4 linked regions of the Drosophila melanogaster genome follow. The protein of the gene in region 2 interacts with the protein of the main gene of each other region in a pairwise test. Each region holds a gene or a part of one and is shown on either strand. Other genes may lie near its edges.

What was found.
Region 1: the proteins of CG43330 (region 2) and CG6937 interact in a two-hybrid assay, tested with the Drosophila melanogaster proteins (one large-scale study listed by BioGRID).
Region 3: the proteins of CG43330 (region 2) and List interact in a two-hybrid assay, tested with the Drosophila melanogaster proteins (one large-scale study listed by BioGRID).
Region 4: the proteins of CG43330 (region 2) and Secp43 interact in a two-hybrid assay, tested with the Drosophila melanogaster proteins (one large-scale study listed by BioGRID).

Annotation. Positions count from the first base shown.
Region 1 is NT_033777.3:22,583,102-22,586,772, forward strand, and holds CG6937 (uncharacterized protein), read left to right. Parts: upstream 1-1,671; 5' UTR 1,672-1,761; coding exon 1,762-1,857; intron 1,858-1,924; coding exon 1,925-2,269; intron 2,270-2,332; coding exon 2,333-2,962; 3' UTR 2,963-3,047; downstream 3,048-3,671. Other genes in the region: Dph5 (diphthamide methyltransferase), read right to left, coding at 1-19; CG33107 (uncharacterized protein), read right to left, coding at 368-422, 494-540, 598-828, 887-1,090, 1,149-1,334, 1,391-1,543; btn (buttonless), read right to left, coding at 3,048-3,524.
Region 2 is NT_037436.4:22,503,328-22,505,990, forward strand, and holds CG43330 (uncharacterized protein), read right to left. Parts: upstream 1,097-2,663; coding exon 584-1,096; 3' UTR 542-583; downstream 1-541. Other genes in the region: CG43331 (uncharacterized protein), read right to left, coding at 1-428; CG43329 (uncharacterized protein), read right to left, coding at 1,267-1,851.
Region 3 is NT_033778.4:18,727,289-18,732,078, reverse strand, and holds List (Lithium-inducible SLC6 transporter), read left to right. Parts: upstream 1-1,797; 5' UTR 1,798-1,839; coding exon 1,840-2,336; intron 2,337-2,534; coding exon 2,535-2,909; intron 2,910-3,046; coding exon 3,047-3,236; intron 3,237-3,292; coding exon 3,293-3,575; intron 3,576-3,640; coding exon 3,641-3,817; intron 3,818-3,897; coding exon 3,898-3,998; intron 3,999-4,060; coding exon 4,061-4,132; 3' UTR 4,133-4,262; downstream 4,263-4,790.
Region 4 is NT_033779.5:4,452,669-4,456,074, forward strand, and holds Secp43 (tRNA selenocysteine associated protein), read right to left. Parts: upstream 1,786-3,406; 5' UTR 1,695-1,785; coding exon 1,659-1,694; intron 1,598-1,658; coding exon 623-1,597; 3' UTR 501-622; downstream 1-500. Other genes in the region: CG15439 (uncharacterized protein), read right to left, coding at 1-283; ND-B8 (NADH dehydrogenase (ubiquinone) B8 subunit), read left to right, coding at 2,061-2,158, 2,220-2,326, 2,388-2,470; Gs1l (GS1-like), read right to left, coding at 2,658-3,070.

The sequences.
Region 1 (3,671 bases), on a different chromosome or scaffold from region 2:
GGCCGATTAGGTAGAACATGCTGGGCGACTGGTGCGACTGCTCGGCCACTGCAACTCCTGCCAAATGTTATTAAAATCGCTTTTTAAATGCAGTCAACACGTGCCGTCGCGCGTTGTGTGACCGCCGCCAGAGCGCCAAGAAATACTCACATTGCGACAATGGGCTAAAAAAGCCTGTGCAGCAATGGCGCGTATTTTGAATTTGAAGGCCATTTCATTTAATTGGGAAATAAACACTAAAAACTTTGGTCCACTACTTAAGAAATGATATATTTGGTTTGCTTTTTTGATCTCAGCTGTATGATACCTATGTTACTCTTAGACTGTAATAATAAGTAAACTACTTAACATAACTACACTCCAGCAATTATTGGAACTCTGAATTTGTTTGCTCGGAAATCTTGAAGCTGCAAAGTTGGGGTCTGTGGATGAAAAATATCATTTAATTAACGTACTTACGTACTTACAACAATATTACGCCATTTCAACTTACGTTGTTGAGGCGCCCCGAACCACGCAATAAGCTATGAATCGTTCAATCTGCAAAGCAATCTTTATCTTTACCGATTCCCTTATTATAAATGCATAGGCACTCACCATCATTTCAAAGTCGCCATAGGCGGCGGAGTGATCCATGCGCACCTGCAGGAAGTACTTGTGTATCTCGGCACCCAGATTGTCCTTCCAATCAGGACACTCCTCGCGTATACGTCTGCAATTGATGATCATGCTGAAAGTGCGGATGAGCATAAACAAATCTGCCTGGCGTCCACTGTTTGCCAACTGGCGCCAGTTGACCGTTTTGGCCATTTCAAAAGCCTTGAGAGCCTGCATATATATGGGTTTAGATTTTAAAGTGCTGATGGAATCAGTTTTAGGTTCATACATATTCCTTCTGGTCCAGTTCAACTGGTTCTCCCGTGTACCGTCCCATTATGGTGAGTAGCAGGGCCATAGCTACATCGTTGCCAAGATGGCAGGATTCTACCATGGCGGGAATCGCGGCCTGCAGGTCCAGCACTCTTTCCAGGCGCTCCATACCCACGCCAGTGATAAGGTTTTCGTACAACCCACTGGCCATGTAGAACATCTAAAGGGAATAAGATGTAATTGATCGGAAATGTTAGGATAGCAGAAAGGGGAACTACCTCCTCCGAGTCCAGGGACTCTGCCAGGTGACACACCACATCCACCATCATGTAGCGCTCCTTCATCAGCAGAACGTTGTCCCTTTGGTACGTCATCATCATAATGGAGAGGGTAAACAGATCGAGCAGCTGCTGCAAATTGAGTTCCAGCTTCCCGGCTAAGGTAGCCATCATGCGATTCAGCAACTAAGTTAATATAAACAAATTAGTAATAGTTATTAGGAAATAAACAGAATAATAACCTGTTTGCCGTCTGTGGTTTCTGCAGCGTAAGGAAACAAATGCTTGATGGACGACTTCCGGAGAAAGGACATGATGGATTCGTGGTCATAGCCTAGGCGCATTTCATCCACTTCCACGAGGGAATTATTCAACGATGAATCAGATAGATTCATTTTGTATTGGCGGTAAAAAATGCGCAAAGCAAATAAATAGAAATAATAAACTGAAAGAGTGACCAGGCACCAAGGGGTGGGTCAAATAGCCTAACGCCTAGTTAAGCGCTGTATCGCATGAACGTAAACGGTCATACCATTATTGTTGCTCCACGTGCGGCGATTTTTATTCATTTACTACTTTAATAATCAATTTTAGTGAATTGACACTAATTAAAATGCCGCCTGTTAAGAAGCCCAAGGCGCAGAAGATCGAGAAGCAAAGCACGCCCAAAAAGCCCATCGATGCAGCCAAGAATGTGGTTTCCGGACAGGTGAGCGGCTACCAAAAACAAATGCTCCTCCGTTGGGTTGGATAACCGTAAACTGCGTCCATTTTAGCTAAAGAAAAAGGTGACCAAGGCCAGGCCGCAGAAGCCAAAGGGTCCAGAACGCGGCGTGGTCATTGTGAAGCACCTGCCTCACGGATTCTTCGAGCAGCAGCTGCGCCAGTACTTCCGACAGTTCGGTCGGGTGCTGCGCGTCCGTTTGGCCCGTTCGCTGCGCACCGGTAACAGCAAGGGCTACGCCTTCGTGGAGTTCGAGTACCCGGAGGTGGCCAAGGTGGCTGCCGACACCATGGACAACTACCTGATGTTCCAGAAGGTGGTGAAGGCCACCTACATTCCACCAGAGAAGCAGACACTCAACTTCTTCAGGACTTCCTTGAAGAAGGTTGTCAATAAGGTGCGTTCAAAGGGAAATACATCTAATGTCCGTTTGTTATTCATAGTTGTACTTCACTTGCAGGCCGGCAAGGAAATCTATGTCTCGGATTTAACCAAAGCCACACAGCGCAGCGTGAAAAAGCAGAATAACTGGGATGAGTCCGCCTGCCAGAAGCGCACCGTGGCCAATCTCAACAAGATCAAGAAGCTGCAGGAGAAGTACAAGGATCTGGGCATCGACTTCTCCAACTTACTGGTGGAACCAGTAAAGAAAGCAGCAGGCTCCGCTGAGGCATCTACAAGCCAGGCAGCCGCCAAGAAAGCCGGTAAGAAACAAAAAACGGCCGCGAAGAAAGAACCAACGCTGGAGGATTTGCTGGGCAACACCATCAACGAGGACTCCGATGATGAGGACTACGTTGATGCATCCGATGATGAGTCCGATCTGGAGGCTGAGGAGGAGCAAGCGGACAGTGAGCAGACCAGCGATGACAGCGACGAAGAGGAGGATTTATCACCGCCGCCCAAGCAGAAAAAGACTAAGCTGGCTGATAAACTGAAACGCAAGCCCGGCACTGGTGGTGTGCAGAAGAAGAAAATAGCTCCGCCGGCTAAGAGCAACAAGAATGCCGCCACCCAGAAGTTGCAGCTGGCCGCAGCCAAGTCGCTGGCCAAACCCTTGCCCAAGGGAAAGGCCAAGAAATCCAAGTAGTAGCTTAAAATACATTTACTATAGTTGTTAAGTAAGCGAAAACATTTTGTAAGATGAATTGTGTTAAAATATGTCCTTGTACAAACTAAAATGGCGTTTTGGCCGAGCTGCCTTGCTGCTCCTCCAGTTTGATGCGCTTGCACTTCATGCGTCGATTTTGGAACCACACCTTCACCTGGCGTTCGGTCAGCTCCAGCGCCACTGCGATTTCGTAGCGACGCAAGCGAGTCAAATAGTTGGAATAGCAGAACTCCGCTTCCAGCTGCTTGAGCTGCGTTTTTGAAAATGCTGTGCGTTCCTTGCGATTCGAGCTGATTGCCCGGAGTTTGGACCTTTGGCTTGGAAGTTCTTGACCAGTAGGTGCCTCATTTTGTAACCATTGATCGTTCGCTTCGTTGCACCAATTAGTTTCTAGTTTATTGTAATCCGCGTAGGAAGAAGACGCACTGTGGTCATATACATAGCTGCAGTCCGTATAGCCCTCCGTTTGGTTCAGCCACGATTTCGTAATATCCTCGTAGCAATAGGATTCTTGGTAGACGTTCGCGTGGGAGTTCTTCATTGCCGATGTCTTTGCTTCTAGGTCTAAACTATTACTGAAATCTCAGATTCGGCGGAGCTGCTTTTTAAACAAGGCGCAGAGTGTGCCAGGCCAATCTGCTTTTTCACTTAGTCGCAAATGATGTGCTGCTGATATGATAATTGTGCG
Region 2 (2,663 bases):
TCGTAGAAGGAAATGAGCAGGTAGGACGGGTCGTGGGTGTCGGGACGCTTCCAGATGGCGTACGGGGTCCCGATGGCCGGGATGCGGTCCTTGTGCTGCAGCCGAATCTCCTCTATGTAGCTGCTGTGACACACGTACTGCAGGATGTAGCCCTCGAGGAAGGTGCAGTTCTGGTCCTCGCATGCTGCCGACACTGGTCCGAGGATGAGCAGGAGCAGCAGGAAGGACACTGGCCGGAACAGCGGGCACGGCGGATGTGGTTTGAGCTTGGGCGGCGGTAAAGTCGTAGTCGAAGGCGGTGGGTTGCAGACCGGGCGCAGGGCGTGCCGAGGATGCTTGGGTTGCTTTGTATGCTGAGGAGGACGGAGCGACGAACGGTCGATCCACTTGTTATTCAGGCTTCGTGCGCTTGAGAGGCGCACTGGCATTGCTTATAGGCAAATGATTCTTTGATCATTTTCGAAAAATTTGATGGGAATTTCCAGGAGAATAAAAACGGTTCCGATCACTTCTCCCCCGCTTGACAGAAGATTCTCTAGTTGCCCCCGGCCCTGCGTTTAGCATCCGCTTAGCATCGACTTTCTTAGAGAAGCCTGAGTCCCAGGGTCCAAGGCCGAGTCCTGGCGGCCCCAGACGGAATATCACGATTGGGAACCCGCCGCGCATACAAAATGGCGACGCGATCGAACTTCGTGGCCGGCGACAGTCCACAGTGCTTCATCAGGTCCCGCACGTAGGAGAAGGAGAAGTCAAAACAGTGGATGCTCTCCGGTCGAATGTGTATGCCTAGCTCATCGGAGTCAGCACAATGAAGGCAGTTGAGGCTCAGGCTAACGTTCTCACACGGCGATATGGGCGACTCATAAAAGGAGATCAGCAGCTCCACACTGGGCAGTCGTCTCCACCAAAGCCAGTAGGGTACGTCGGCACTGAGCCAAATGTCTCGGTAGCTCAGCTTCAGGTCGGTGCTGTATTCGGCCTTACAAACCAGCGTAAATGGAATTTCGTTTTCTAGCATGAAGTAGCAGGAGTCGAAGGAGGCCTCGGAAGAGGACAGAAGAAATGCGATCGGGAGCAGCCACAGTTTCCATGTCATGGCTTTGTAGGTTGATGTCCATAGGGTATGGCATGTAGAAATGTAGACTAATAAATCATGGCTGACATTTGGAAAGCGACGCTTCTTCTAGCGCAACAATTTATTCATTCAATTTTGAACAATATCATTTTTACATTAAATTTAGATTTTTCGGGTACAAAACTTTCATTTTAGTAAGTGATCACCGCACACACGACAAGAAGCAGGTTTCTTTTCACACTTGTCGAAGTTGCATCACTCTTCGGCAAGTCGGGGGTTTTTATGCTAAGCGAGCCGTAGTGAATAATGGGCTTCTTGGTAAGGACACCTCCCTCACTTATGTCTTGGCCCAGACAGTGCCTTTTTAGCTCATTCGTATAGCGCAGACCGAAGGGGAAGCAGTGGAGGGTAGACGGTGTCACAAACAAAAGATCGTTGGTATTTCTTCCCTTGGTGGCTAGAAAGAATTGGCCAAGATCCATCTCGCCTTCCTGCAGATTGATGGTATCATAGTTTGGAAACATCGTGGTGTAAAACGATACCAGAAGAGCAGAGTCGTCCTCTTCGGTCTGCCAAACACTGTAGGGAGTGTCGGGAGGAGCTCGGTTGTCCCGAAACATTGTATACATATCCTTGGGGACATTTCCCTTGCACACGAACTTTAGAGTGACATTCTTTGCGAAGGTGCAATTCCCAGTGCTGTGTATGGCAAGAATTTGAAGCAAGGTCGCCAAAAAAACTATTGATATTCCAAAAAAGGTCAAGTATAAGCGCATTACAATAAATTTAAGGATGACTCATTACGGGTTTCCAAATTTCAACTCAACTGACAACAGGCTCACAGTTTTAAGGACCCAGATTGATTTTTTCTAAGCCATTTTAAGATTTCCCTTTGAATTATAATATTTATTTTTTATGTTAAGTTTTACTAAATGTTTAGTATTCAGGATTTAATTTACATAATACATTAATAAATCTTTTAAATTATTTTATAGTTACTAAAAACTATTTGTTCTCATAAAAACACATACGACTGGGTAAATATAACCTAGTAAAGAACAAGTTTTTACATCCGGTCACTTTTATTTCGATTTTTACGCGGTAGTCAGGCCAAGGAACTTGTGCACTACACATACCACTTTTACAAAAAGTTTCAACTAACTTTTGCAGCCAAAGATAAAAAGTTTTTTGAATTCAATCAAATTAATTAAACAATATCTTTGGTGATCCAGTCTATTTATGCACTATTCGATTCCAAGCAAAGGCTATGCTATTGGTACTCTTTTCAAATTTCATTAAATGCATTATTTTAAAAAACAAAACAACCAATATATGAAACATTCGGAATTTGTGCATTACATTAATGGGTTGAATCAGTTTTCCCTAACGAATACTGGATTTTAAAACCATTTGTGGATTGTGAATGCCAAGCCCAGAAATCTTCTCTATTTATAGAACTCATTGTTTTGATCCGGTCATTCCATCTCTTCCTCGATCTCAGTGCAGCTACTAGGTTTCAGACAAGTCGGAGGAGAAAAAATGCGTCAAATTGATTTACACGCAAGCTAAAGTTCGTTGAAAGGGCGGG
Region 3 (4,790 bases), on a different chromosome or scaffold from region 2:
AAGAGAATGCCAACGGAAACCGAATGGCCTGGGTTCAGTCCAAACCAGAAAGGGAAAACTAATTGCAGTGCTCATTTTTTCCTTGTTAATGGGCCTGCAAACGAGCTTCGAGTTTCCCTCCTTCTATCGATCCTTGCACACACACACACACACAGATACATCCCTGTATCCACACATGCGTTTTCGCTTGTGCCATCGGAAAAAGTTTTTCCCCCCAATTTTATTTGCCTCATTTCGCTGCCATTGTTGCTGGTCGTTGAAAATCTGCGTGCGCAAGTAACAACATTTTACAGCTGCAATTAAAGTTAGTTAGCCCACCGCCTTCAGCCCTTCGTTTTTCCCGCATTTCCCACGGCTTTGCCGACAACAAGCTAATGCACTGCACTTTAATTAACCCAACACCAGGAGACCGAACCCAGAAATTATACATCCCATACGCTTTCCACCCAACTAATGGCAATTTATGTGCGATAATTTGTGGTATGGAAACCATAAAAACAAGTGCGACGACTCGAATAACAATCAACTAAATAACGAAACACTCTAAAGCAGAAAAATGTACTTTTTTTATGGACTTAATTTTATTGTATTAAATTTAATTGTTTGCCAAAAGCACGCGAAAGCTGCTCGCTTAAAACAGTTGGACCATGAAACTGCCGTTTTGTTTGCTGTTTATATGCCAAGTCTTAGCTAGAAGCTATAAGTTTAAATAGTTAAATATTAGTTTAATATTTCATAATGTGAACGATACTTTCAGGTCCTTTCATATTTTCCCACATTTAATGCAAACAAGTTATGTTTAAAACGGCATTCGTGTGCATTAGAGTCAATTACCGTGGATTGCAATGCCCACGCAGTGAAGCTAAAGCCAGAGGCAATCAGCATTATCAAAGGCTTTTAATTGTCATAAATCTGCGAAAGTTGTTAAAAACCCATTTAAAATTGTCACCGTAATAGCACACTCAAGCGGCTCAGTGGCATTTAACCAACTATCTGCCACATCCCATCGCATTCCATCCCTTTCCCTCCTCCGCCAACTGATGCGTTTTATTTTCTTGGCTCGATGGCTTGGTTGCTCCATCTTTTTGCCAAGTTCAGTTGCAGCCTGCCAGAGATGTTAATTAGAAAACTCTTGAAAATTATTAAAAACTTTCCAAAGCTGTCAGACAGGCGAGAGCTGAAGAGATAGTAGTGGTAAAATAGAACTTCAAATAGTTGCCAGCTCGGTGGAAAATGTTTTTAAGAAAATTTTCTAGCTCCTTTTTGATGGCTTCTCAAAGTATATTTCACTTGAGAAATTACTTTTAAAATGAAGGCGGCAGAGTTTAATATTGTTTGTGAGCTGGCATAAATCCGTACTTTAATTTAATTAAATATAATCAAAGATCTCTGCTGCCTTTCCAGATTAACTCAGCCGGCTTCCGTGTTTCAAATTTCACAACTTGACTCAATTTGCGTTGTCTGAATTACATTACAGCATGTTGACATCTCTCCTATGCCTCAACCCTTTACAAACTGGCTTATCGTCCAGCTCGAATAATATATAGAACTTCTCTCTAATGGATCTGTATACAAATTGCCTCTGTTTCTGAACTTGATTCGGATTCAGTCTACGGCATCTGCATGCCACTTAGCACCTTTTATTAGTGCCAATTAAGACTGATTTCACGATGCGTTCACGACGAGATTACAGACCCCAGACTGCCCCAAACTAGATAATCAACCGCAGAGAATTTGTGGCGCGCGATTCTGACACTGAATCCGAGCATCCAAGTTTTCAGGTACATATCTCGATTGCGGTTAGTTAAACGCGGCATCGCAAAGTGAACAGTTCTCGTCATGACGCAGCTAGAGATTTCCAAGAAGTCGGAAAAACCAGCGGAAAAACCGGCGGAGCAATGGGGAAATGGACTCGAATTTCTTTTCTCCTGCATTTCATTATCCGTGGGATTGGGGAATATCTGGCGTTTTCCCTACATTGCCTTCCAGAATGGCGGCGGTACCTTTGTGATACCGTACCTGATTGCCCTCCTGGTAATTGGACGGCCTGTCTACTATCTGGAGATATCCCTGGGCCAGTTCACGGGTCGCGGCGTGGTCAAGGCCTTCGATATGGCTCCCCTGCTCAAGGGCGTGGCATTGGGTCAAGTCCTGGCCACAGCCGCCTCCATCACATACTACTCCAGCATTATGGCTTTGACTCTACGATTCTGGCTGGCCTCCTTCGGCTCCGAGCTGCCATGGAGCAGGTGCTGGGAGAGCTGGGGCACCGATTGCCACGACGGCAATGCTCAAAATAGCAGTGGAAAAATGTCACCGGCACAGCTGTACTTTGAGCAAGTACCTCCACTTTTAAATCATTCAAGTAGTTGTTGACAGCATTTTATTAAACTAATTAAGACAAGCAGAGGATTTTTAGAGAACATTTTCTTGGCAGACATATTATACATTAATGCCATCACAAATTCATATAGACTAGGCTTTATTTTCTAAATTGTTATAAATGATTTTATGCTTGTGCTCTACCTTTCCAGACGTGAGATCCTTCATGAGGTGCCCAACATAGACAACGGACTGAGTCTGCCCAACTGGCAACTGGTGGCCTGTTTGGCGATTGCTTGGCTGGTCATCGGAGGAGTCCTCATTCGCGGCATTAAGAGCAGTGGCAAGGCGGCCTATTTCCTGGGCGTATTTCCCTATGTGGTGCTGCTCATCCTGCTCTTGAGAGCCGTTACCCTGCCAGGAGCCATCGATGGCATTATATACTTCTTCAAGCCACAGTGGCGAGAGCTGCTGAATCCACTCGTTTGGTATGCAGCCGTAACACAGGTCTTCTTTTCCCTGGCCATCTGTTTCGGCACTTTGATCACCTATGCCAGCTACAACAACTTCAACCGCAACGTATACAAGTGAGTTTATTGGCTTAAGATAAGATACGGAATGAAAGCTTAGAATGCATATTACTTTAACAATTTCATTACGAAATCTAAAGCTAAGCCAAGAGATTTATTCGAGCAATAAGATTACTAACCGCCACACCCCACAGTGACATTGTGATAATCACCACCATGGACTCCTGTTCATCCATAATTGCTGGCTGCATTACCTTTGGAATTCTGGGCAATCTGGCACGCGAGACTGGCAACCCGGATATTGGCAGTGTGGTGAAGGGCGGCGCGGGATTGGCCTTCATCTCGTATCCGGAGGCCATTGCCAAGTTCGAGTATGTGCCACAGGTAAGGTATCGAGAAGAGCCAGCGCCATGGGCGCCCTAAAGCACAACTACCTAAAGATGTTCGCGGTCCTTTTCTTCCTCATGCTATTCGTCTTAGGCATTGGCAGCACCGTGGGCATGGGATCATGCATCCTGCGCGTCATTCGGGATCAATTCGGATTACGCTCCCCGCCCATTTGGAAACTGGCCAGCGGCCTGACTGTTTTAGGCTTCTCGGTGAGCATCGTTTACATGACCCCGGGCGGTCAGTTTATCTTGAATCTAGTGGATTTCTACGGTGTCTCCTTCACCGCTTTGATCCTGGCCATTGGCGAATTGGTGGCTGTTGCATGGATTTACGGTGGGTTTATATATCCAACGTGGGATAAGCTATTGTTCAAAGTCCTTTTTGTTTCACTTTTTTAGGAGTTAATCGCTTTTGCGAGGACATCAAGTTTATGATGGGCATTGAAACCGGTTGGTACTGGCGCCTCTGCTGGCGTTTCATTACACCTGGTTTGATGACCGCCGTGCTCATCTACATGCTGCTCGATATGTCCGCTCTGGAGTACAAAGGTGTTGGCTATCCCACCTTGGCACACGGTAAGGCCACGTCTTCCTGCACTTCAATTTTATTGAAGGGTTTATATTGTATCCGTGTTCTCTTCTCTCCCCACTAACAGTTTTTGGCTGTTTTTTGGCCACCTTGGGGCTGATTCAACTACCCGGCTGGGCCATCTATGCCATCTATAAAAAGCGTGGCCATAACGGCAGCTTCTGGCAGGTATGTACACCCCCCCCCACCCCTCCTTTCCAGGGGCTTTATATCCATTTCCCGTCTTTTAGAGAATACGTGCCGCTTGCAAGCCGTCGGACACTTGGGGACCGGCCAACGTTCAGCTGGATGCCACCATATAGAAAATTAGCTCGGTACCCAACACTGCGTATACGTAATGGCTCCAGTAGTCAGGGGCATTATTATTTGATATGGTCTAGATGAAAATGGGTAGAATAAAGTGAAATATATGGGGCTCGTGGAGCCAAAAACAAAAGCGGGCTTATTCTGGCGGAACAATTTAACTGCCCGAAGGAGTTGAGCTGGCGAATGGAGGAAGTCGAGGAGGAGGAGCTGCTGCAAGCACTTTTAATTACCCCAGGGCAGAGCTCCAGTTGGGCGTGGCAGCTGCACTCCTTCTCAGTTGTGTTTGTGTTAGTCCGCTTGGCATGTCAGTCATGTCAGCAATGCGGAAATGCGCAAATACTAAATGAAAACAAGTAGCAGATGTTACTTTTCCTTACGACGAATCTTATAATACTCTTTCATATGAAAATGATTTCTTTAAAAAATTGCACAAGTTCCCATTTGGATGATTTATATATATTTTTAAAGAAATACTTAAGAATACGAATATTTAATATTCATTTATTGTACAAATTAAAATTTTACAATCAGATGTAAAAAACGAAATGTTATTCGGAAAGTTCTACGTTTTCCATTAAATTGGCCACAAATTGCAATATCCTTTTGTAAGGATACAAAGTGCTGCAGCGCAGACAAGCGGGATGACTTGGAAAA
Region 4 (3,406 bases), on a different chromosome or scaffold from region 2:
AGTGGTCCACTCCATTGATCCCGTTCTCCAGTGGTGACGGTTCCGTTTCCGCCAACAGCTGCCGGAGCTGCAGTGTTGAATCCTCGCTCTCCGCATCCGAATCCGATTCAGAATCGGAGCCACCACTGGCGTCGCTGCTGCTACCGTCGCCATCGCTCTCGTCCTTCGATCCGTCCGAGCAGTTGTCGATGTCCGGCAGGAAGTCGCTATCCGAGGAACTCTCGCCCAAGTCAAAATCGAGCAGGGCCTGCGTAGTAATCTTCGGCTGCCGCGCTCGCTTCATGATTCAACGCTTATTTAGTCCGCAATTGTCTGCACAATCTCCGAAAGTCTCGGGCCAAGGCAGAAACTATCGACAGTCGATAGGCCGACATGGCGATGACACGGACAGAATAGTATTCCGTCTGTATATCGATAAAATACATCTGTTGTAAGGATATTAGGGATATTTTGTAAAAATGTATCCTTTATTTTGAATCCTTTGTTAAGAAATGTAGATTCAGGAGCATAAAAGTTTATAGCAGGCTCAAAAACAATAATACGCTACAAGTCAGGCTTTTATATTTTTTGCTTATATCTAAGCTGTAATTATAGTAAGCTATAAATATAGTAGATAAGTATCCTAAAAGACTTCCAGCTGCTCAATGGGCAGCCACTTAGAGCTCTCCAGAGCATCGTACAGACGGCGGTCGGCATCAATGGCCTCTCGGTTCAGTTTGTCCACATCCAGGACGAACTTGTGCTCCACCAGTCCGTTCTCATCCTCAGCTCCATTGGCGGCGGAAGCGGTCTGCTGCTGCTGCTGCTGCTCGTACTGGGCGCTGCGTTGTGCGCTCCAGGCCTCGGCGTGCTGGGCCAGAGTCTGCGGATTAGAGTGCGACTGCGACATGGCCTGCTGGTAGTATGCAGCCGCATCTGTGATCGAAGCACCGGCCTGCTCGTAGTAACCTTGCCAGGCCTGGTATCCCTGCCAATAGGTGCTGGTGGGGTCGTAGTACTGCGAGTAGTCGGTGCCACCTGCTGCAGTCATACCGCTTCCATATCCATAGTTTGTGTTGCCTTCGCCCACAGCACCACCCAACTCGGATTTGGGTTTGGGCACGGCATTGCAAATCTTTATGGGCTTGGTACCCAATCCGATGTACCCGTTCATGTCGTACAGCGCTGATTTCTGCTCATCCTCGATGCCAAATCGCACAAAGCCGTAACCCTTGGAAAACCCCAGGCTGTCCAAGATCACCTTGGCGGTTTTGATCGATGTGAACTTGCTGGAGAACACCTTGTACAGCTGATAGTCGTCCACGTCCGAGCTGAGGTCGCCCACCCAGACGCTAAATTCGCGTTCATTCCCGGGCAGCTTGTACGAGTTGCTGGCCGAGTTAAGACGGAATCGCACAATGGGATTGGTGCCCGGAATGGGCTTACCGTTTAGCTTGTGCATCGCGTCCAGCGCATGGTCATCGGATATGAAGTTGACGAAGCAGTAGCCGGCCGGTTCGCCCGTGTACTTGTTGCGCATCAGGCGCACCGTGGTGGGATCTTCGCCCATCTTCCGGAAAGCGGCGATTATGAAGTTCTCCGTCATGTAGGACTCCAGCTGAAATGGCCATGCGGGCTTAAAGGGTCATGTGTCTGGGGTAATGCACGTTGCTACTTACGCTTCCCATCCACAGTTGACAATGCACGGACGCCATAATTGTTCAAATACGTGTTCAATTGAATATTTTCCAGAGACAAATGATGTTTACCAAAACAAATGAGTGACTGGCCGTCAAGCATTTATCGGTATTTATCGATGTGGGCCAATCAAATGCTGACCTGGTGTCAGCCAAGACAATTGCCTTGGTTCTTGTCTTTGGAATGGATATTCAAACGATGCAACTAATGGTTCGCGTCTCTGGTGAGTTAGACGTTATTTTAGTTTGAGCCAAAAAGTAATTTGTTTTTAAAAAACAATAATACCAATATGTAATCCAAGACAGTTTGACAACCCTGCGTAGTACCGACATTTAAATAGACTTACTTCCTGAACATTTCAAAATCGCAAAAGTGGTGCCAAAATGGGTATTACTCTGTTCCGATTGGCCAGTTTTACTCCAAAACTGAAGGAGCTGCGAATCATTCTGGATCCCAAAGGAGACACTTCCAAGGGAGTCAGGTGAAATTGTCATTTTCCGCTTTTAAATTATATAATTTGCTAAAGCAGCGTTCCTTTACAGGGAATACGTGGAAAGGTTCTATCCAAACCTGAAGAAGAGCAATCCCGACCTGCCGATCCTCGTGCGCGAGTGCTCTGGCGTCCAGCCCCGCCTCTACGCCCGCTATGGTGAGTAGATTAGCATAATGTGCGCTGCTAGCTTCCCCCACATCGATTCCCATGTCCGCAGGCAACGGCAAGGAAGTGTCCCTCTCCCTGGCCAACCACGCTGCTCCTGACATACACAAAAACCTGGAAGCGGTTGGCAAATAGAACTTACGCTGGAAAACTATGTAGATTAGGCGCAAAATAAAGGCAAAGCCAGATGCTTTATGCACACATACGTATACGTGTATATGGGATAACATTTACACTTAAATTCATTTTCTTGGTAGGTACATCGATTTCCAATTACAGCAATAGCATCTTTTAGCTACAAAAAGTACGTCAGCCATTAAGTTCAATCCGTGAAGGCGGGCAGCCCGAACTGCTCCGGCTTGAAGTCCGCCAACGAGGCCAGCACTTGTGTGGCGTGCGAGGTCTTTTCCTGGGACAGTCGTGGGTCCGGCACCATCACCACCTGCATTCCGGCGCTGTTGGCAGCCGTCACGCCGTTCGGCGAGTCCTCGAACACCAGGCAGTCGGACGGTTTGGGCGGCACACCGAATCTGCCGGCGGCCACTAGGAAAATGTCGGGCGCAGGCTTGCCGTTGACCACCTCCTTGTCCGACGAACCGCACACCTTGTGGTTAAACAGGGAGAACAGCTCCCGATGTTGGGCCGTCTTCAGCTCGACCATGTCGGCGCCGGAGCTGGTGGCCAAGCAAAAGGGTACCTTGTTGGCGTGCAGGTGACGCAGCAGGCGCTCAGCACCTTGAACGGGGAAGGAAGCACACGATTAACAAACGGCTTTAATCACAGTAGGATAGTAATTGAAGCAGAAGTATTTATAGGGAGAAATGCCGATTAGTTTTCTGGTCGTGGTGCTAACCTTCCAGCAGGGGTACGTTGTGGAATCGCTCGTGGCACATTTGCGAGTACCGCTTGAGATAGTCTCCGGTTGTGATGGGCAGCTGGCACTCGGTGATGGCTATCTCTGCCGAGCGCTGGTCCGTGGTGCCCATTACCCGGAAACGCACTTCCTCCGGATACGGGCGGCCAAAGGAGGCGGCTATTTGCCGGGTGACCTCCTCGTATATCCTCTCCGTG